2 linked regions of the Astyanax mexicanus genome follow. The protein of the gene in region 1 interacts with the protein of each later gene in a pairwise test. Links are inferred from orthologs where the notes say so. Each region holds a gene or a part of one and is shown on either strand. Other genes may lie near its edges.

Region 1 (11,547 bases):
TTTTTAAGTAAATCTTACTTTTTTTGTATTTTTTTAAGTCTCAATTTAGAATTTTATCCCTCAATAAGTGTATTGTACTACACTTATTGTTTGTTTCTACTGTGTATTGTTTTTGTTTCTACTGTGTTGTGTAATTGCTACTGGCTGCTAAATTTCCTTCGGGATCAATAAAGTATCTATCTATCTATCTTCAGTGCATGTAGGATCATCATGAAAGCCGTGGACGTAAGATTTCTGGTTACCAGTAGGGCTACCATTACAGACCCCATATGAGCAGGCTATCTGAAAAGAGTCCCTATGCAAGACTCCATCCTCTCTTCTCTGTAAGATGATAAAATTATTATCTGCTCAGCAAGATCGTCAGCCAAACGCCGTAACTGTAGATGTAAATCATCAGGCCTGCTGAAATATGGGCGTTTAATAGCTCACTTTGCGTTCAGCTTGTTAATAAGCTTTATGGTAAATGAAGCGGCAGAGTCACAGTATCAGGAACTTCACCTCTGATCCAAAACAGGAAGCAGCCGGGTCGTATTCTCTGCACTGTCAGGATGAGCAGCTGCAGGGCTAATGCTGTGTTGGGTGTCAGTATAAAGATATGTGATTATTACTGAGATCTACAGTCCAGCAAAGCTTGTAATTTTGAGTCAAACTAGAGGTCAGAGTTTAACGGCAGTTCACTGCACATCTCTGAGCTGCTTCTACTCAACCTCAATCAGGGAAGCTCATCAGAGAGCCTATGTATAATTTTATATGAAGAGTTGTTTTTAGACATTTTCATTTATAACATTTAGCAGACACTCTAATCCAGAGCTAATAAAGTCACTAAAACCTCTGATTTTAGCTGACTCCACCCTCAGCTCAAATTTCAAAATGACAAAAAATTAAAAAATGGGAGGGGCACTGGGTGATGTATGGGTTTAGGGGCAGGGCAAGAGGGAAAGATTGATTGGCTGAGCTGCAGCAGCAGCAGTGTGCCTTTGATAGTGGTGAGACGCAGATGGTTGGACGTCAGCAAGAGGGGGCGGTGGGGTATTATTGAGACTGATTTGCATATTGTGATTTGTCTGTGCACCAAAGTACACGCAAACATCAGCCAAGTCTATAGCACAGTTAAACCTGAGAGGGCGCTGCAGAGGAGGAAAATAACCAAAATAAAAGCGTTTTTTTTAAAGGTTAGGAAAGGTTTATAAAAATTATAAGCAGGACTGGTATGTTTCATTACTTTAAAGGAACACATTTTAGCTATTAATTAAAATAATATGGTTTAGGGTTTAGTGGCTCTTAAACTGAGAATACTACCAGAACTAAGCCAAAAAAAATACCCTAATGCGACAGTAAAACAACTTGTCTCAATTTCTAGAACCTAAATATAATGATTACTATGCAAAAACATGTACAAATCCTGTGTATATACTAATTTTAAATGATGCCTTGAAAGTGCCTATATTATGATCAATTGCATTTTACAGTTGCAGGTCAACACAAAACATTAATTCTTCAAAAAGGTAATGTAACAATCAGGGAGTGAATCAGATGCTCGTAGATAAAAAAAAAAAAAAACAACCAATAGGGTTTCTTAGAAAAAGGTCAGCTCAAAAGAGAAATGCAGAAAACAGTCCAGGTCAGTAAGATCCAAGGCAAAACATTACACAAGGGAAGATCCAAAGGAGTAAATGAGATTCAGGCAGAGGTTAACACCAAGAACTACAAAAAAATCAGCAAAATAAAGACAGTAAACCGAAGACGAAAAAGGGTTATAACAAAAAAAGGCATAAGAAAAGGATAAACACTCACAAGAACAATACCGAGCAAAGAGTGTTAGATGGTCTGGGAAAACACTGCACTGACTTTGGACTTGAAGTGTGAAGTTTCCACCAATCAGTGATGGTTTGGAGAGACATGTCATCTGCTGGTGTTGATCCACTGTGTTTTATTATCAAGTCTAAAGTCAGTGCAGTTTTGTTTTCCCACAAAATCTTACAGCACTTCATGCTGCTTCCCTCTGCTACTGACAACTTTTATGGAGATGCAGATTTCATTTTCCAGCAGGACTTGGCACACTGCCCCCACTGCCAAAAGTACCAATTGTTCTTATATAATATTCTCATTTTCTGAAACACTGACTTTTGGTTTTTCATTGGCTGTAAGCTTCATAATCATAAACAATAAAATAAATAAACGCTTAAAACAGATCACTTTGTGTTTAATACATCTATATAATACAGTATATGAGTTTCACATTTTAAACTGATTTACTGAAATAAAGTAACATTTGGATGACATCCTATTTTTTGGAGATGCACTAGTGCTGTATGTTGGCTTCAAGAGCATTTTTCAACAAAGATCACTGCATTTACCATACTGTCCCAACTTTTTTCCTGATTTAAGTTTGTACACTGCGTGAGAGTGAGCTGTACAGTGGTAGGAGCTCAGCTCAGATATTTGGCCGAGCTCCTGACTGAGACGTTTTCATGACAGTGGAGGAGGTTGAGGCTTGCAGGGCTTGGAGAACATTGTAACATTTGAACCGAAGTACAGAAGTACATTATATTTTATACATTAGCCCTCTGGATGAGTGTGTGAGTGTGTGTGTGTGAGAGAGAGAGAATATAAAAGAACATGCCAAGAGCTTGGGCTGTCCACATTCTGTAGTCTGGAACTGAAGGAAAGAGGGATTCATGCTGGAGGAGGAGGAGGTAGATGTGATAGATAGGTTGGCGTGAAATCTAACCTTAATAAGAGTGCCATTCTAGGCCAAGTCTAACGCAGCACTGCGAGCGTCTGAATGGCTGCCCAGCAGCGGGGGAGTGTGTCTGCTCTGCTGAGCGCTATGTAAATGAACACGACACTCAAGACATATTTAAATAACAGTAATGATCTGGCTGGGTTAAGACTAGCCGTTAAAACAGCTTAAGCTTTAACCTAACAGAAATAAAACAGCTTGAAATGGAAGGAAAAAACATGACTTTTTGCATTAGTTATGTGTTGGGAATTATAATGATGATGATAAACATTTGCATTATCTTGTATCCATGTGTACTAAAAGGGTAAACTCATATAGGGGTATATTTTTATTCTTTTGATATAATTATCACATGTATAAGAATATAGACTACACAGAAATGTATGTATGTTCCATCATAATTACTCTTTATTTTCACTTATTATTTAAACCCGTCATGCATGTGTCCACCCTTCTATGGCAAACTGTCTGAGAGAATAAACGATTTTAGTAAAAACGGGCATTTAATGAAAACATGTTTGACCTAAATTTGCAGAAATGTTGAATTGTTCATGGTGACTGTTCTTGTTCTGTTTCAAAATTACATTTTGACTTTCTTTCTTTATTTTAATTACTGTGATATTTTCATATTTTTATTATTTGACAGGGTGAACAGCTTCAGCTTTACCTCTTTAAGCTAGATATGAAGACAATATGCATTATATCATTTTTAAAAAAATGGAAAAGCACTTCATGCTTCCCTCGGCTGACAACTTTTATGGAGATGTGGATTTTCCAGCAGGACTTGGCACACTGCCCACACTGACAAAAGTACCAATTGATCTTATATAATATTCTAATTTTCTGAGACACTGATTTTTGAGTTTTTATTGGCTGTAAGCCAAAATAATCAACAATAAAAGAAACTAGATTGCAGTTCCTACAGAAACTGCGAGTGTGATTGCAGTGCTGGCCGGGGTACCCAAACTTTTGACCCGTGGCTCCATTACACACAGTACTGGAGTTCTAGCTGCCGTCCTTCGATCTAGCTGCCATCCTCCGATGGCCCCATTCATTCCTATGGGGCCACTTCGTACGACAATCGTACGAAATTCGTATGTCGTAACGTTTCGTGACGCATATTTTCGGAAAGAGCTCAATAAGTTCTACAGGTCCTCAATTGGTTTCATCTTCGTATCTCAAAAATTGTGACGTACACGGCCGTGCAAAGTTCTGCCCATTCATTTTCAATGGGCAAAAAAGCGCACACTTCGATCGGAAAGCTGTATACAAGCCCACCATTCCCGATAAGGACGCACGTTTTGTCTTTTGAACGAAGTCGATATCTCGAAAACTGCGGCACTAGTTAACCGGACAAAAAACAGGTGGAATAATAATAATAAGAAGAAGAATAAGACTTAAGAAGAACAATACTGTGATTGCATACTGCAATCACACTAATAAATGCTTAAAATAGATCAATCTGTGTGTAATACATCTATATAATGAGTTTACTGAATTACTGAAATAAAGTAACTTTTCAATGATATTCTAATTTTTTGAGATGCACTAGTAGTACATGTATAATATCAAGGATTAGCATCAGCCAAGAATTCCTACATCGAGCGTCCCTAAATAAAATCGTAAAAGAGAAGAAAAATTACCACAAAATTTCAACAAGATATTTCCACATCATGACCAGATATCTCTGACTTTGTATTTAAAATAACCAGATTGTGTCTCAAAGTAATGAAACAACATCTCAAAATATTCAGAAATAATTTCTAAATATTGAGAACATTAAGAAGATCTCAAAAATAATGGAAAATCTTGTCTAAATGACTTATGACTCTTGACTCTTTATTTTTATCTTTATCTTTATTTATATATGTCATTTACTGGAGAATGGCCCAATGACTAGCATTCATCTCAAACAAATTACTTAGTTTCTAAAAGTAACGAGATAGCAATTCCCCCTATGGAGCCCCTAACGTGACATTATGTAAAAAAAAAATGTGGGAACGAGATCCTAAGGCGTGGAAGAAAATAATTTGGCATGGGAACAAGATAATTAAGGCATGGGAACGAGATTATTAAAGCGTGGCCACGACTTATTAAGGCGTGGGAACAAGTTAATTTAATCTAGCCGAGAATAATAAAGCTGGCTTTTCTGTAAATTAATGCCCATGAAAAAATATCACTCCTGCTAAAGGCACTCAGTCCTGTTACTGGAACTACCTCCTTTTAGTGGCACTCATTTTAGTGTTAGTTTTTATGTTATGAGTAACAGGAAAGAAAGTAACAGGAATGAGTTTCAAATCAAATGTACATAAAAACTAATGAGTTGAACTTAATTTTTGTCTTCCCATGATCTTCAGAAGAACCAGCTGATGTCACTTCCTGTTCTAGATGTGACTTGTAGAATGTTCCAGATTGTCCAGATGGGGTAATGTGTTACGGTAACAGAACCGAGTGAAAACCAGGGACACAACTAAAGTGTGTTTTTTGACGTAAAGGTCTCTTTCCGCTGAAATATATCTTTTCTTGTTCTTTGTGAAATACTGTAGGTCTCTATGAATTGTATATGATGCTGCACATGAAACTGATTCTTAGGCTCCCTTGTCTGCAGTAGTTTGTGAAAGAAAATCCTCAGAAGTACAAGTTGATCAGAGAGATGTAAAATGTCAATCAGTGATATATTTGCATATAAATAGCAAGAACCAAATCATGACTTTCTTTAGAGACCAGTAATTCAGTGATCTAAAGCAGGGCTAAATAAAAACACCGGAGCACTTAAAAAAAAAAAAAAAAACACAAAGCATTCATTTATACTAGAGACCACAAGGATATGTTTTAAAATGATTTAAAAAAACGGTAGAATGGGACCTTTAAATATTATGAATTAATTATGAAAAACATATTTTTAAAGCATAGATGGGATTTAAAGTCACACAACAATGCAAAAAAAAATATATATATATTTCATGGTAAAGTTTATAGTCAGACAGTGGGGGCAAATAACAAATGCTATTTTTTCAGTGTTCTAAGTAGTTTTTATTAATGTTTTTAATTGCATATCTTACTTTTGCAATTGGGTAATGTACAAGATACTATGCTTAATAATAAACTGTATTTTAAAGTTATTTTGTGTGCACATTTAAACATGTACTTTACTGGAGACAGAAAAAGACAGAAATGGCACCCATTTGGTGGAATGGCCCAATGACTAAAGGTATCTCAAGCAAATTACTTAGTATCTAAAATCAACGAAATAGCAATTCCCCCCTATGGAGCCCCTAACGTGACATTATGTAAAAAAAAAATGTGTGGGAACGAGATCCTAAGGCGTGGGAATAAAATAATTTGGCATGGGAACGAGATAATTAAAGCATGGGAACGAGATTATTAAGGCGTGGCCACGACTTATTAAGGCGTGGGAACAAGTTAATTTAATCTAGCCAAGAAAAATAAAGCTGGCTTTTCTGTAAATTAATGCTCATGAAAAAACTGAATATTATATCAAAGCTCCTTTAATCCAAAGATAATCTTTAGTAAGAAAATAGAGAGTAAACTGGTTTATTTTTATTTTAATCTCTTAATGATTTATGATGATTTATGATAGCACACATCTATTTTTTTTACATAATGTCACCTTAGGGCAGGGGTGTCCAAACTACGGCCCGTGGGCCATTTGCGGCCCGTTTCCTTTTTTGGAGCGGCCCGCAAGGTATTTTAGAAATAGAATGAACGTTGGCCCGCTGTTAAGCAGGTTTTTATAATGTGAGAAAAAAAAGCAGTTGTAGCGCAGAAAAAATGGGCCAAATAGTCTAAAGGTTGCCGTAATTAAGGGAGTTTAATATTAAGAGACATCATGAAATTAAACATCAATTTGAAAAATCTTAGTTTACACAACACTGTCAAAGATAAAGATAGTAAGTCAAGTTAAATGGTGTGTAAATGAAAGTAATCAGGAAAATGTATTATTTAAAGTGGTATATTTCATTATTTGTTTTATTACAGAGTCTGTGGCCTGTGACTTCAAATATATTTCTCCTTCTAGCCCCCAACAAAAAAAGTTTGGACACCCCTGCCTTAGGGGCTTCGTACAATTCACTTAATAACGTAAAATAAATAGAATCTAGATGTATTTTGTATTTTCAGCAGTTAAATAGAGGTATTTAAGCTAAATGTGCAGTTTTGTAGTTACTAGTGCTGGAGTGTGCAGTCTGTGCTGGTCTGTATCCGGTATAAATCAGCAGATCTAAGAGCTGAGGGGGATTAATGTGTTGTTCTGTAATCTGAACCTGTGTGTAATGTGTGTGAGAGAAGATTAACAGGTAAATAAAGCGGTAAAGGTGAAGCTCGAGCCTGCAGCCACACCCAGCCCTCACCTGAGAACAGCCCCCTCCCCCTCTTCCGCCTGCTGCGTCACTGCCGCCATTCCAGGAACAGCTCCTCCCCCCCTCCGCTCCCACCCAGAACAGCCCTGAAAGGGAGAAAAGCGAGGCGTTCAGAAAGTGTGTATAGCGCGGATCTGCTGAGGAAACCAGCTGAGGATCATTTCAGCCTTTTTACCCGCGGTCTGAGTGCGTGTGCAGGGCTTTTCACCCACCGGAGAAAGCTTTAATACCGGGATCAGCGGCGGGAGGAAAACTTTCACCGGAATTTTAACCGCTCTTCCTCCATTTTGAGGTTTCGCCCAACTTAACTTTGTGTTTATCGTGTTTCGGTGAGTTTAATTTACTGTTTTACAGCCTAATCCTCGCTTTAACTGGCTTTAATTTGATTGTGAAGCTCGTATTATATGAAGTTTGTGTGAAAAAGCTGGAAAAAGGGAGCTGAAAGTTGATAGTTTGTGAAAATTCGCGCTCCGGTTTTCCAACTTGTGGGATAACTTAACTCAGCTAACATTCAGGAGAGAGTTATGGACTCCTCCCTAAAGCCTGGGGTTAAGTGCAGGTTTTCCGCCTTTTTAGACAAATTACCGACTTTTAAAAGCTTAAAAATCCTCTATATTTATTCCTGGATGTTAAAACAGGTGTTTTTAAACCATAAAATCCATTAAAACCAATAAATATAACATTTTAATTTCAAAATAAGTAACGTTACCTATTTACAGGCAAAATCCTTAACTTTAGCTGGCTAGCTGCTTGTTTGTTTGGGTTTTCCTAGTTTTATTTAAATTAAGTTTTAAAAGCGTCATTAACCATATATATTGTTATCCCTGGATGTTAAAACAGGTGTTTTTAAACGATTGAATCCATTAACAATATTAAATGTAACTTTAAATCCTAAAAAAAAATACTTTAGCTCGCTAGCTGCTTGTGTTTGGTTAAGTTAGATTCTTTTATTTTAGTTAAATCTACACATTTTAATAAGCTTTTGAACCTATATTTATTTATTTCTGGATGTTAAAACAGTTGTTTTTAAACAATATGTGATTTTTAAAATCTCAAAAGTTCTAAAATATGGGAGAAATCCATAACGTTAGCTGGTTAGCTCCCTGTGTTTGGTTAGTTTTTCCTCATTTGAACTAACTTAAACTTTAAAAGCTTCCAAAACCATCTAAATATCTATCCCTGGTTTTTAAAACATTTAAATCCATTAAAACCGTTAAATATCACATTTAATTTCAAAATAAGTACCTAAATACATGCAAAATCCTTAACTTTAGCAGGCTAGCTGCTTGTGTTTGGTTAGAGTCTTTCATTTTAGTTACATTTACACTTTTTAATAAGCTTTTAAACTCATATTTATTTATATCTGGATGTTAACAGTTGTTTTTAAACCATTAAATCCATCAAAACCATTAAATATAACATTTAATTTCAAAATAAGTACCTAAATACAGGCAAAATCCTTAACTTTAGCTGGCTAGCTGCTTGTGTTTGGTTGGGTTTTCCTTTTAAATTAAGTTTTAAAAGCGTCATTAACCATATATATTTATCCCTGGATGTTAAAACTGTTGTTTTAAACCATTAAATCCATTAAAAACATTAAATGTAACTTTAAATCCTAAAAAAAATATTATTTACCAAAATATGGGAGAAATCCCTGACTTTAGCTGGCTAGCTGCTTGTGTTTGGTTATATTCTTTCATTTTAGTTAAATAGACACATTTAAATAAGCTTTTAAACCCATATTTATTTATTTCTTGATGTGAAAGCAGATGTTTTCAAACAATATGTGACATTAAATCTCAAAAGTTCTAAAATATGGGAGAAATCAATAACTTTAGCTGGTTAGCTCCCTGTGTTTGGTTAGTTTTTCCTCATTTTATTTAAGCTAAACTTCAAAAGCTTCCGAAACCATCTAACTATCTATCCCTGGATTTTAAAACAGTTGTTTTAAACCAATGAAAACAATAAATATGACCTTCAGTTTCAAAATAAGTCTTAAATATAGGCAAATAAAAACTTTAGCTGGCTAGCTGTCTGTGTTTTGTTCAGGTTTTCGTCATCTTAGTTAAATTACTACGTTTTAAAAGCTTAATAAACCATAAATATTCATTCCTGGACGTTGAAACAGTAGTTTTTAAGCAATACCAAAATATAAGAGAGATCCTTAACTATAGCTGCCTAGCTCCCTGTGTTTGGTTAGCACTCTATAGCATTCCCACACTTCCTTAACTAATTCCACTTGGTTAAGCTAGGCTAATAAGCTAGCTAGCTGGGTAACAACTTGGATAACTAATTAGTTAGTTAAGCTATCTTTTTAAAGGTTTTTTTTTCTGGTCTTTATAGTACATTTATATTTCAGAAACTTAAAGAAACATGTTCATTTGAATCTATAATGCCCTTCCTGTGTCTCTTAGCCAGTCACAACCATGAGTAATAGGCTACGGTTTAATTACTCAAAATACATTTTGTCCAAATGATAATTAAATAACTTCTTACAAATACATTAATTGTCAAATTAAACACACAAAATATCACTACTATAAGGTTTGAGGTAAAGAAACTAGCTAGCTTAGGCTGTGTTGTCCCCACTGACCCCTCTGACCACAACCAGTGGGATTTTTGGGACTCCTCCCTAAAGCTTGGGGCTAATTTTAGATTTTTTGCCCTTTTGCCTAAATTTACAACTTTTTAAAAGCTTCCAAAACCCTGTATATTTATCCCTAGATGTTAAAACTCTTGTTCTTAAACAATTCAATCTATTAAAACCATCAAATATAACATTTAATATCAAACCTGCCTGTGTGTGTTCAGGTTTTTCTTATTTGATTTAAATAACCAAGTTTTAAAAGCTTCCCGACTTAGAAATATCATTGGATGTTAAAACATTTGTTTTTAAACAATGTGGCATTTACATTTTCGAAAAGTACCAAAATGTGGCATTCCCAAACTCCCTTAACTAATGCTACTTGGTTAAGCTAAGCTAAGCTAATTAGCTAGGTAGCTGGATGGCAACTTGGATAGCTTAATTAAAGAACTAGCAAGTTATCCAAGTTTTTTATGACTTTAAAGTATATTAATATATCAGATAAACCTAAAGAAACATATACATTTGAGTCTATAATGCCCTTCACGTTTCTCTTAACCAATCACATCCATGAGTAATGGTTACTACTCAGAATGTAATTTGTAAATCCAGTTGACAATTACATAATTTCTAACGAATACAGTACTTAAAAATATGACTTTATTAAAGGTTTATTGTTAAGGATTAGCTAGGTTATATGTTGTCCCTGCTGACCCCCCTGACTACAACTGGTGGGATATTTAGGACTCCTCCCTAAAGCCTGGGGCTAAGTTCCGATTTATTTTGCCTTTTTACTTAAATTAATGACTTAACATCCACGGATAAATACAGAGTTCTGGAAGCTTTTAAATCAGTTGTTCTTAAACCTTTGAACCAGCATTGAACCATCTATTAAAATGATTAATTATTAAAATTCAAAATTATTACCTAAATAAAGGCAAAATCCTTAACTTTAGCTGGCTAGCTCCCTGTGTTTGGTTAGATTTTCCTCACTGTTGGTAAATTAACAAGTTTAAAAGCTTCCAAATCGACTAATATTTATTCCTGAATATAAAATACCAAAATGAGGGAGAATAGATATAAAAGTTAGATAACTAGTAAGTTAGGCTATTTGAGTTTTTGTCTTTAAAGTATATTTATGTATATCAGGTAAACTTGGAGAAACATGTCCCATGCCTCTTAGCCAGTTACAACCATTAGTAATAGGCTACTACTCAATTTCTGTTCAGTTTAATTCATCCAGTTGACAATTACATAATTTCTAACGAATACAGTCATTACAAATATCACTTTATTTAAAGGTTTAATGTCCTCCCTACAGCCTCGGGCTTAGTCTAGATTTTCCACTTTTTGTTGCTTAAATTAACGACTTTAAAGCCCCCCAAACCCATCTATAGTTATGCCTGGATGTTTGTTTTATTAAAGCATTAAATACATTTAATTCATTATATGTGAGTATTTCCTAAACAAGTACCAAAATATAGGAGAAATCCTTAACTTTAGCTCACTAGCTGTTTGGTTAGATTTTCCTTGTTTTGTTTAAATTAACAAGTTTTAAAAGCTTCCAAACCCATAAATATTTATTCCTGGACATTAAACTGGTTGTTTTTAAACATCTTTGACGTTAAATCCCCAAAAAGTACCTACATATAGGAGAAACCTTAACTTAGATTTAAAATTAAAAAAACTAATTTTTAAAGTTTCCAAACCATTGAATATTTATTCCTTGATGTTAAAACACTTGTTTTCAAAAATGTCACATTAAATCCAAAAAACAAAAAGTATTAACATTTGGGATAACTCTTTAACTTTAGCTGGCTAACTGCCTGTGTTTTTGATTT
Region 2 (11,054 bases), on another chromosome or scaffold:
ATTTCATTTGGCAGACGCTTTTGTCCAAAGCGACTTACAATAGTGAAGTACAAAAGTAATAGGAATTTAGATAACCCATTTTTAGATAGGGCTTAAAGGAGGTCGAAGGGAAATAAAGGGATAGAGAAGTGAAGGAGGGGAAGAAGGAAATGAGGTTAGAAGTAGTTAGTGTGTTAGAGATGTTAGGAGAGTAAGTGCTCTTTGAAGAGCTCAGTCTTCAGGAGTTTATTAAAGATAGCGAGAGATTCTCCTGATCTGGTAGTGGAGGGTAGTTTGTTCCACCATTGGGGAACTCTGTATGAGAACAGTCTGGATTGCTTTGTGTGAGTGTTTGGCAAAGCGAGGCGACGATCATTGGAGGAGCGCAGCGGCCGGGAGGTAGCGTAAGCCTTCAGGAGTGATCAGTGCAGGTAGGAAGGAGCCTGTTCTGTCATCACCTTGTAGGCGATTGTAAGAGTTTTGAACTGGTAGCCAGTGGAGCTCAATGAGCAGCGGGGTGACATGTGCCCGTTTTGGTTGGTTGAAGACCAGACGTGCTGCTGCATTCTGGATCATTTGCAGTGGTTTTACTACGCAAGCCGGGAGGCCAGTTAGCAGGGCATTGCAGTAGTCGAGGCGTGAGATGACGATTGCTTGTACCAGGAGTTGGGTGGCCTGTTGCGTCAGAAACTGTCTAATTTTCCTGATGTTATAAAGTGCGAAGCGGCAGGATCGGGCAACCGAGGCCACATGGTGCGTGAAGGAGAGCTGGTCATCAACCATAACACCCAGGTTCCTAGCAACCTTTGTCGGTGAGAGAGAGAGAGAGTCGATGCTTATAGAGAGGTTGTGTTGAAAAGATGGTTTTGCTGGTATGACCAGAAGTTCAGTCTTTGAGAGATTTAATTGAAGGTGATGCTCCTTCATCCAAGAGGATATGTCAGAGAGACACGACGATATCCGTGCAGAGATTGAGTTATCTTCAGGTGAGAATGACAGGTATAGCTGGGTGTCATCAGCAAAGCAATGGTAGGAAAAGCCATGTGAGTGGATAACCTGACCAAGAGAGGCAGTGTATATTGAGAAGAGAAGGGGACCCAGTACCGAACCCTGGGGAACCCCAGTGGATAGGGAGTGGGCTGAGGACAGCTGTCCTTGCCACGACACCTTGAACGAGCGCCCAGTGAGGTATGATCTAAACCATGACAGCACATTGTCTGAGATCCCCATGTTTGAAAGTATAGTTAGGATATATACTAGGGCTGGGAATTACAGGGAATCTCATGATACAATATATCACATCAAGATATGTTGCCCACAATTCTCTACGATACTTCACAACATATGTGTTACTGAAGAAAATTAAATACTTCTATATAAGCAAATACCAGAGATTATGGATTTATTGCTGTCAATTTCACATTTGAGAAGCACTAACACATGGAGTAATGGAGCACCCAAAAAATGCTTCACAGAGTATTTTGGTTTGTTTATCACTTTTTAAGTTACTACATGATTGATTGTGTGTTCCTTCATTGTCTGGATGACTTTAGTATTAATTTACAATGTAAAAAAAAAAAAAAAAAAAAAAAAACTAATAAAACAAATAAAAACACTGATTGAGAAGGTATGTAAGATACTTTTGGCTGGTAGAGTATAATCATTAGGGTTGTATGAAATATTGAGCAACAAAATAATTTACTTTTTTATGTTGAACCTGCTGTTAAAAATAAATGTTTTTGAAGCACAATAGCAAACAAAAAAGTGGCCAATTTTTAAAAAAAATCTGCGGACAAAAAAACGTGTTCTGTATTTGGTGTTTGAAGATATGCCATATGTGTCAATTTTGTTCTGATTCAGCTAAAAGCCTAATAATTAATATTATGGGCATACAGTTTATTGTCACGTTTTAATTTAGATTCTTACTCAATTTAAGCAACACAAACAGGTACATATTCAAACCCCTTTCAGCCTCCAGCACAGTCCGGCTCACCTGTTTGAGCTTAAAAACATCACTGTTCCTGATGTGGTAGACACTGCGCAGGGTCTCTTGGTTGTAAGGTGGAAACTCAAAGTGTCCTGAAACAGATTAATGAGCAGGTTCAGTATAAATGTCCAATTTATGCAATGTCATATATCTTTACTTAAATGTGTGGAGTATGCTCTGCCATTACCTTTTCTGTAATCATGGGATTTGAAAATTCCAGAAAGACCACCAATCCGTATTCCTTTGTAGCGAACAACACCAGCATAACCTGCAAAACAAGCAATACAACCCCACTTTAAATCACTGGAATAAAGATCTAAGAGAAAAACTGGAATCTGATAACATCACCTAACAATGACTGAGTTCTCAGCGTCCACAAAACTCTTAACAATAGCTTTTTTATATTATAGAAAACTGCAGTGTATGTCAAAAAATATGTGAACTAAAATTAAAATTACAATACCTCAATGACTAGGTAAAATTTATCCTATCCAAATAGGGCAACTTAGCCCAAATAGGGCAACTTAGCCCAAATAGGGCAACTTAGCCCAAATAGGGCAACTTAGCCCAATTAGGGCAACTTAGCCCAATTAGGGCAACTTAGCCCAATTAGGGCAACTTAGCCCAATTAGGGCAACTTAGCCCAATTAGGGCAACTTACAAGTAGTCCAAATAGGGTAACTTAGTCCAAATAGGGCAACTTAGCCCAATTAGGGCAACTTAGCCCAATTAGGGCAACTTAGCCCAATTAGGGCAACTTAGCCCAATTAGGGCAACTTAGCCCAATCAGGGCAACTTAGCCCAATTAGGGCAACTTTAGCCCAATTAGGGCAACTTTAGCCCAATTAGGGCAACTTAGCCCAATTAGGGCAACTTACAAGTAGTCCAAATAGGGTAACTTAGTCCAAATAGGGCAACTTAGCCCAATTAGGGCAACTTAGCCCAATTAGGGCAACTTAGCCCAATTAGGGCAACTTACAATTAGTCCAAATAGGGTAACTTAGTCCAAAAAGGTTAACTTTATACATTATACTAACAGGAACATGGATAATATTCCCACTATTGTCCATGCTTTTATTTAACATTTTCTAATTTCTAAAAGTAAAAAAACACTCAGATAATTAATACATAAATACTTCAAATCTAATCAAAGATATTAAATGATCTCAGACAAAAGAACATTCTATTATAATGTTTAGCACTTTACTTTATAGGCAATACAGCAATACAGACACAAACTCTTACCCAAATAGTAAATATTGGGGGCGACCCACCCTCCATAGGGAAGCTCCTGTAAATGGTTTGAAGCTTCATGGTTTCCCCCGATGAAGATAGTCAGGACAGGTGCTTTCTTCTCTCCAGAATAATACCTTTTACAGTGCGAATGAGATAGAAAATATTAAACAAAAAATGCAGCAGCATACACAGCTGCAGTAGATCGATCATCTACGTAAAATCTTACTTGTAAAAAGTTTGCATCTGCCTGTACTTGGTCGGCACGGCCATACACTTCATGTCCCCCTCATTCCGCACAGCCTGGAAGTCCCCACAGCACAGCAGCAGGTCCACCTTGAGGCCTTCCTTGCGCTCCAGGTGGCTGATGGTCTCGTATATCTTGTCCAGTTCGCCATGGCAGCAGCCTTCAACAGCTATTTTCATATCCGTAGATGTTAAAGTCCAGATTTTGTTTTAAAAAAATAAATATTGCTAACACAGGAAAAAGTGCTTCTTCAGACAGAGTCTTATTAAATCCAGGAACTCTGAGTCGTGCATATCCAGACCAGTGAACCTATTGACAGGACAAAGGTCACATTAGTCCAATATGTTAAACATGGTGGGGGTTTTCACATGGACACATTGGACAGATACAGATATAGCATAAAATCAATAGAAATGCATTTTAAGTAGAATGGTAGTTAGACTCTGGAGGAACGTCCAACAACCACACAAGCCTGTTAACCATCAAACTAAAACATAAATCATAACCCTGTACTGGTCAGAATCTAGCTAAGCTAGTCAACCAGCTTGACCAGTTTGAGTTGATTATCTTTTTTTCTTCAGCAGGTTATTCACATATTTTAACTTGTCAGTTTTAGGGTTTAAGAAGTGATAGACGCTGCTCATCAGGTAACGTTAGCTGAATAACTGCAACAAAACGGAATTATCCGTTCCACCTTAAATTACTTATTACGTATTAGCTAACGTATTGGCGCCTGAACAGACGCCAGGCAGTAAAGGCTGCAGTATTTAAGGTGGACCGGACAATTCGAAACAGAAGCCCACGACACGGCACGAAATGGAAGATTATACAGCTAAATTAAAACTGCAAGCACACAAACAACATTTCTGACATTATTCCATCAAAACAAAAAAGCTGTGTGTGTAGTCTCACCTGTATTTTAGTCGTTAAACCGCTGCTTTAACAATATTTCCCTCTCAGTGATCCAACTTACCCTCCATTATTCACCGGCCACGCATGCGCACTCGCTGTACTTTACATGGTAAAACCAGTTTTGCCAGCCACCAGCACTTTCCACTATGCAAAAATTATTTTCGTAAAAATATAAGTCACGTATAGCGCACCATTTAGTAAAATAGCGGTTTATGTTTTCTTTCCTTTAAATTTGTATCAGTAACAAAACTTTCCCAAAGAAATAAAATGATTCATAAAGCATAAAATAATAATAAGCAAAAACAGTGATTAAAAGCTTCAGTTAAACTATATACAGTACCACACACACACAAGTAAATTTAATATAGACGTTAAATCTATACAGGAACACGTGGAACTATGTAGTTTATTCATTACTTTACAGATTAATATGTAGATTAATTATGTTCTCTCTCTCTCTCTCTCTCTCTCTCTCTCTCTCTCTCTCTCTCTCTCTCTCTCTCTCTCTGTCTCTCTCTCTCTCTCTTCTCACACCCCTACACACACTCACTCGCGTAGTCATGCACACAGAGCTGATGGCACGTTTCCTCTTTTCAAGCTGTTCAATGTGAAATATGGATGTAAACTAGCGTATATTTTCTATATTCAAAATCCCAGTTAAACTCAGCAACTCGGCTCGTTACAATAGTGTAGTTTAAAAAGCAAAACTACCCTGAGATATTGTAATACAGTAAAAAAAGAACCCTTCATAAAATGAAAGCCTTAAGGAATTTTAGGAAGGGGACATAAAATCTGATTTTTGTTTTACCGTATTATAATATATTTTTCTACCAGTATTAAAAATATGTAATCATGATTTCATCTGTGATTTAATCACAGAATATTGTTGTGATCAATACAAGAAAGGGACTGGCACCAATAACATAAATGTTTCATGTTTCTAAAAGTGATTCTTGTTTAAAATACAGTTTATCAAAAGCGTAATCTTTTCTTAAGGAAGATAGGATGTAATTAATGGTGTCTAATCACAGGATGTTCGTGTGATTAGCGTTAATTAGATAAAACAAAATTTATGAGAAGAGGTGTGTCCAAATTTTGACTGGCTCTCTCTCTCTCTCAGGTGTGTGTGTGTGGAAAGTGCCGCTCGTGTTCCCCGGCTGTTCGGACACAGAGAGATGGCGTGTCTGCTGGAGGCCCCGCTGCGCATCAGCGTGCTGTCCGTAAGTCCGAGCCCCTAAATCTTCCTCTAACCCCGCTGTTTTTCGCGTGTCCCGCGGCTCACACCTGCAACCGGAGCCGTGGAACCTAGTGCGGTGTTTGGTCTGAAGTGCAGTGCATTAGTTGAGCGTGTTTGTGCGGAGCACCGCGGGTGGATCGGGTCGGTCAGGCGGAGTTAACTCACTCACCGGCGGCGCTACAGAGCCGGGAGAGCTGGGGTTAGCTCCGGCTAGCCGACCTGCAGAGCCCCGCAGCGCCCTGCACTGCCCGACAGCTGGTTTAACTCCATCCAGCAGAGCGAGCCCGCTTGTTTATTAGTCTATTGCCTGGAAAAGGTGCTTAATTTCGGGTTTAGTTAGAACGCTGGCTAAACACCCGGAGCTTTAGCTAGCTGCCACTGAAGTTGGGTGACTTTCTGGGCTGCTGTTTAGCCCTGTATTTGCTCGGCTAGCTAGCTCTAATCAACCTCTATCTGTCTAACTTGCTAAGGCTAACGTAGCCAAGCTAGCCCTACTGTGTTTACTGAATCCCAGGCTGTCAGCTTTAGCTAACAAGCCTGGCAGGTCTAACCTATATATAGCTAGATAGCTAACTAGCAGATGTATGTTGGTTTGATTATGTGCCAATAGAGAGGTAGCTAATTAGTTAGTTAGCTAACCTTGTGTGAAACTTCAACCATAAAGCTAACTCTAGCTTAGCTAGCTAGCCATGTCAAACTGCCAAGCTAATTGGCTAACTCATGCTAGCCGCTGGAAACGCCCCCGTCTTGTTGAGTTCTATACTGTCAAAAAATTAGCAGCTTCAACTCAAAAACTTAAGTAAGTTACAAAAGCTGTTAAAGTATAAAATTTTATTTAAAGTGAATTTACTATTTACGTTATGTCTGATTTGGCTTTGGACGCATCTACGCATTGTTACACCAGTAATAGCACCGTTACAAAGTAAAAAAAAAAAAAAAAGAAAAGCAGTGTGAAAGACTGGTGGAGAAGAACATGCCAAGATGCATGAAAACTGTGATTAAATAATTAATTGATTCCACCGAATATTGTTTTCTGAACTCTTAAACTTTGTGAATATTGTGAATATCTTTGCATTATTTGATGTATAAAAGCTCTGCATCTTTTTTTATTTCAGCTATTTTAAATGCTCTAAATGACAGTATGTTTATTTGGAATTTGGGAAAAATGTTGTCTGTAGTTTATAGAGTAAAACAAAGTTCATTTTACTCAAAACATATACCTATAAATAGCAAAGTTGTCTCTTATTTGTTTCCAGAGCTGTAAGTGAAACTCATGCATGCAGCAAATAGCAACTTGCTCTTATAGCCGTTAACACCCAGGCTTGCTAGGCAGTACTTTTTAAGCTTGTAACCCAACTTTATGCAAACAATAAAATGAAAGCGCTACCTGGTCCTCACCTGGAGAACAGGTTAAGTAAAACTAAAGATCTATTTAAACTAGTAAAAATAAATACAATATATACATCAAGCATCGGTTTAAAATATGTCGACTCTAATGTCGGTTTCCAAAATGCATTCGCATATAACTAGTCTTTTTTTGTTTGTTTTTTTGTTTTTAAATAATGTTTTTGTTATTAAACTTTCAGTGTTTGACTACTGTTTGTTTAATTCATTGTGCATTGAATTCAGCTGCTCAGCCACGTAAACCCATTTCATGAAGCTCTCTACTTTCAACTCTTCTTGAGCTAATCTGAAGGCCACATGATGTTTGGAGGTTTGTAGCGATTGAGGTCTGTAGCGTGAATCCCTGTACTAACTATTCCGCAGTCAATTTTCAGTAATAATATAACGAAGTGGGAGTGACTGGAAACGACAGCAACTCTACCACAAATGGCAGGTCACGTAAAAAGGCAGAGCAGGGTCAATGGATAGGTTTCCTTGGCCAAACAGCTGCATTTAATACTTGAATTGAATTAAGAAGTCAAACAGTAGTCAAAACCTGGGATTGTAATAACACAAAGCATAAAAAACACAAAAAATAAAATTTGTGCATTATGGAAATGTGTTTTTTGATTGACTGCCTTGTGGTGTGTTCATAAAAGCACATTATATTCACAGATACTTATATTGTTTTTATATATTGTTTTTATGTTTTGAAATACTCTCTTCTTTGTACTCTATACTTGTTGCAAAAACGCAGTGACATTTTTCAAGTTTTTGATAAGGGTGTGTAATTGCACCAAGCATGATAAAAAATACTATTAAAATAATTCTAGCAAGGATTCCTTTGCCCTCTTCTTTAGGTCACCAGCTAGCTCTTGTATCAGCACCATTATCAGCAGCATAGTTGCTCAGGTAACCAGGAATAGCTGTTATAACCCGAAGAAGACCTGGGGACCTACCAGACACACTGTGTTCAGGAATAATATATTTGGCTTTGCAGGAATGGTAGCAGAAGCACATAAATGTCATTTATGTGGCATGGTGGGTGGTGTGGTGCAGTGGATAACCCGACCGCCTGATAGTGAGCTACTGTTGTGGAGACACGGGTTCAATTCCAGGTCTGGGTGACTGGAGGCTGTGCTACACCAATAAGAGTCCCTGGACAAGACTCCTAACACTACATTGGCCCACCTGTGTAATAGAAATAATCTTGTAAGTCACTCTGGATGATAGCATCGGCTAAATGCTGTAAACGTACATTTATTTTAACAAGATTTAATTAACAAGATATAATATTAAGGACAGCTGTGTTTAATCATTTAATTAATTACCCAACAACCCCTGGGCTCCTCATATTTTATACGTATGATTCCATGTTTTATACTTATACTGAACTAATTATATTGTCTTACTTGCATTGTGTGTTAGGGAGGGGAGTTTAGGTGTTTTAAGGTGGAGGAAGGGATAGGGTAACATACCTCACAGGTAGATCCGTTGGTCTGGTTGTTTTAAACAAACTAAAGACTAATTTATGATGGATGTAGGATCTCACAATGAGATTTTTGGCCCATATCATGGAAAATATTTATTTTGGGCCATTTAAGTACCATCAGGATGCCATTTAAATCAAATTAATTGACATTAAATTAAATGTCCTGCCCTTAGGTCCATGAGAATTGTGAGTGTTTAGATTAGTCAGCATGTCTGTGGTGGAAATTTAAGCACGAAATATTGCTCTGTGTTCAGGACGTCATACGTATATCCTGAAAACAAAACTTCAGCTGGCCAGAGTGATCCGTGGAGTAAGTTTCATCTGCTGATCCCACCCGTGTCCCCGTGTAAACAGACTTATCGGATGTCAGAACCTCATCTCGTGTCTGGGAAAGCTTAAGATGTGTGGACTGGAGGCTAACATTGGGCTGAATGGGGCTTTGCTAGTGTTTTCCCCCACAGGTTTGGGGTCTGTGGGCTGTTTGGTTCTGTTGTCTGGATGTGAACCTTTTTCATACAAGTTTTCTCTCTTTCTGGCCATGCAGGAAGTCACAGCCACCAGTCGCCATTATGTTGACCGGCTCTTCGACCCCGACCCACAGAAAGTGCTGCAGGGAGTCATGTGAGTATGTGTTTGTGGAACAATGGTATCACCAGTCATTATTTGATCTGTATTGAGGTTCTGTGGCTGCATCGGTTTCGACAGTGTTCAAAATTTGATTGTATTTGCTTTTGGTTGTTTCTTTTTTAGGAGCGCTCTTGTTTATTTAATCAGCTTTCAGTTGCTGTACCCACTGTTGCATGGTGACATCCTCAGAAATCAGAAACTGGCCATTATTTTTGTCCTTTAAGTTAAGCACAATTTTTTAAATCTGTGTTCTCTATTGTGGGGGTGTGGCCAACAGAGCACAGGGCCGTGCTTTTTAAAATGCTGCCCATCACAGCTTTCATATTTTATGGCAAAAATAATCAATATCCCTACAAAACATCTTTTATTCAGTGTCCCCTCTGTTGGACTACAGAACATACTGCCTCACTTTTGTATTTTTTGTTTTTATTTTCGATTCTGATGAAGCAGACAGACAGAAATGTGATTTTTTTTTTTTTCAGAATTGTTAAAGTTTTTTGGAAATTATTTAGGGGGTTGCAAACTAATGGGTCTGCTCAAATTTGGAAGAATATAAAATGAAAAGGCCTGGTAACAAAAATCATCATGAAAAAATCTAATGCCATTACATAACCCTTGTTTTCTCCTGGGTCTCAAGAGGTTAATGGTTTGTGTAAATTTTTTCTTGCTCTCCGTTTGTGTGCACTAGTGTGTCTAGTGGCAAGGATCCTCCGCTTATTTCATCTTTATTTTTAACTCTGAGCTCTGGTTACGGTGTATGGGTGCTCGTTACCTGAATGCCCCAACAGTACTTTTCCACTGGCCTGTGCGCCCGCTCAGAGAGCAGCTGAGCTTCTCGTGCCCATCTGAGATTTGCATGGGCTTCTCTCACAGCTGTGCTGGGGTACATCTATCAAGCTATGTCTAGTTCTAAAAGCAAGCATGTTTGTATGAAGGGATGGCTAAGGGTCCTGACTCAAGGTGCACACACACCCACACCCACACCCCCACACAAACACAGTGCCTCATCAAAAGTGTTTTTTTTTTTTTTTTTTTTTTTTTTTTTTTGGATTAGTGTGATTGCTCGTACGCTCACTTGTAAATGGGTGCACACAATTAAATTTAATTTGCCAATATTATTGCATACAATATGATATGGCTCACCCCTAATTAGGATTTTCACCACATTGTAACAGAAGCAAATGATTCAGAATGTCATACTAATTATGCACTCCAAATATCTTCATATATCCAGGATTAAAGTAAAATCAATGATACTGGACATATATATATATATATATATATATATATATATATATATATATATATATATATATATATATATATATATATATATATATATATATATATATATAATGAGAACAGTTTGAAATATTTCTTTTGCTACAAACAGCATTGGCCCATATGACATTTATCATATAATATCATGATATTTCAGGGTATGTTTGCGATAACAATATTGACAAATTTTGGCAATATTATTGCGTACGATATGATGGGGCTCATATATTTGTAAATCAACATCAAACTGATTAGGTATCGGTGGTGATCCACAGCCCTACTGTAAAAGCAGGGTTAGGGTTCCTGACTCTGTGCTTTCATACCGATCAGTGATTTATTTGGGTTTAGGGATGCACAGTATATCATTTTTAGCATCGCTGTTGCAATGTGAGCATACTTAAGTGTCACATCATGATCATGATGTCACAATTTACATGTGTGATCTCCCTCCTTAATGGGGAGCTAGGTTTCTGCCCACATTTGTAACTGTTTGTAACTGTTTGTAACTCTACAACACCCTATTTAAGTAATTCATGTTTCCTGAGCGCAGTAATTAGTTGGATCAGATGAGGTAATTCTTTGGGTTGAATGTAAAGTTTGTAGGAGAGCAGGTCTGAAGACCCTGAGGGTTGGAGATCTGCTGTGGATGACTGTACTGTGTGTTGTATGGGCTGCT

The links.
Region 2: the proteins of ctnna1 (region 1) and armc8 interact in a two-hybrid assay, tested with the Homo sapiens proteins (2 studies listed by BioGRID and IntAct). The link is inferred for Astyanax mexicanus from reciprocal best matches to the Homo sapiens genes CTNNA1 and ARMC8.

What each region holds. Positions count from the first base shown.
Region 1 is NC_064409.1:75,353,917-75,365,463, forward strand, and holds the start of ctnna1 (catenin alpha-1), read left to right. Parts: upstream 1-7,175; 5' UTR 7,176-7,451; intron 7,452-11,547. UniProt on the Homo sapiens protein: Associates with the cytoplasmic domain of a variety of cadherins. The association of catenins to cadherins produces a complex which is linked to the actin filament network, and which seems to be of primary importance for cadherins cell-adhesion properties.
Region 2 is NC_064418.1:10,798,505-10,809,558, forward strand, and holds the start of armc8 (armadillo repeat-containing protein 8), read left to right. Parts: upstream 1-5,472; 5' UTR 5,473-5,533; coding exon 5,534-5,578; intron 5,579-9,014; coding exon 9,015-9,091; intron 9,092-11,054. Other genes in the region: dbr1 (lariat debranching enzyme), read right to left, coding at 1,973-2,058, 2,154-2,234, 3,212-3,336, 3,429-3,625. UniProt on the Homo sapiens protein: Component of the CTLH E3 ubiquitin-protein ligase complex that selectively accepts ubiquitin from UBE2H and mediates ubiquitination and subsequent proteasomal degradation of the transcription factor HBP1.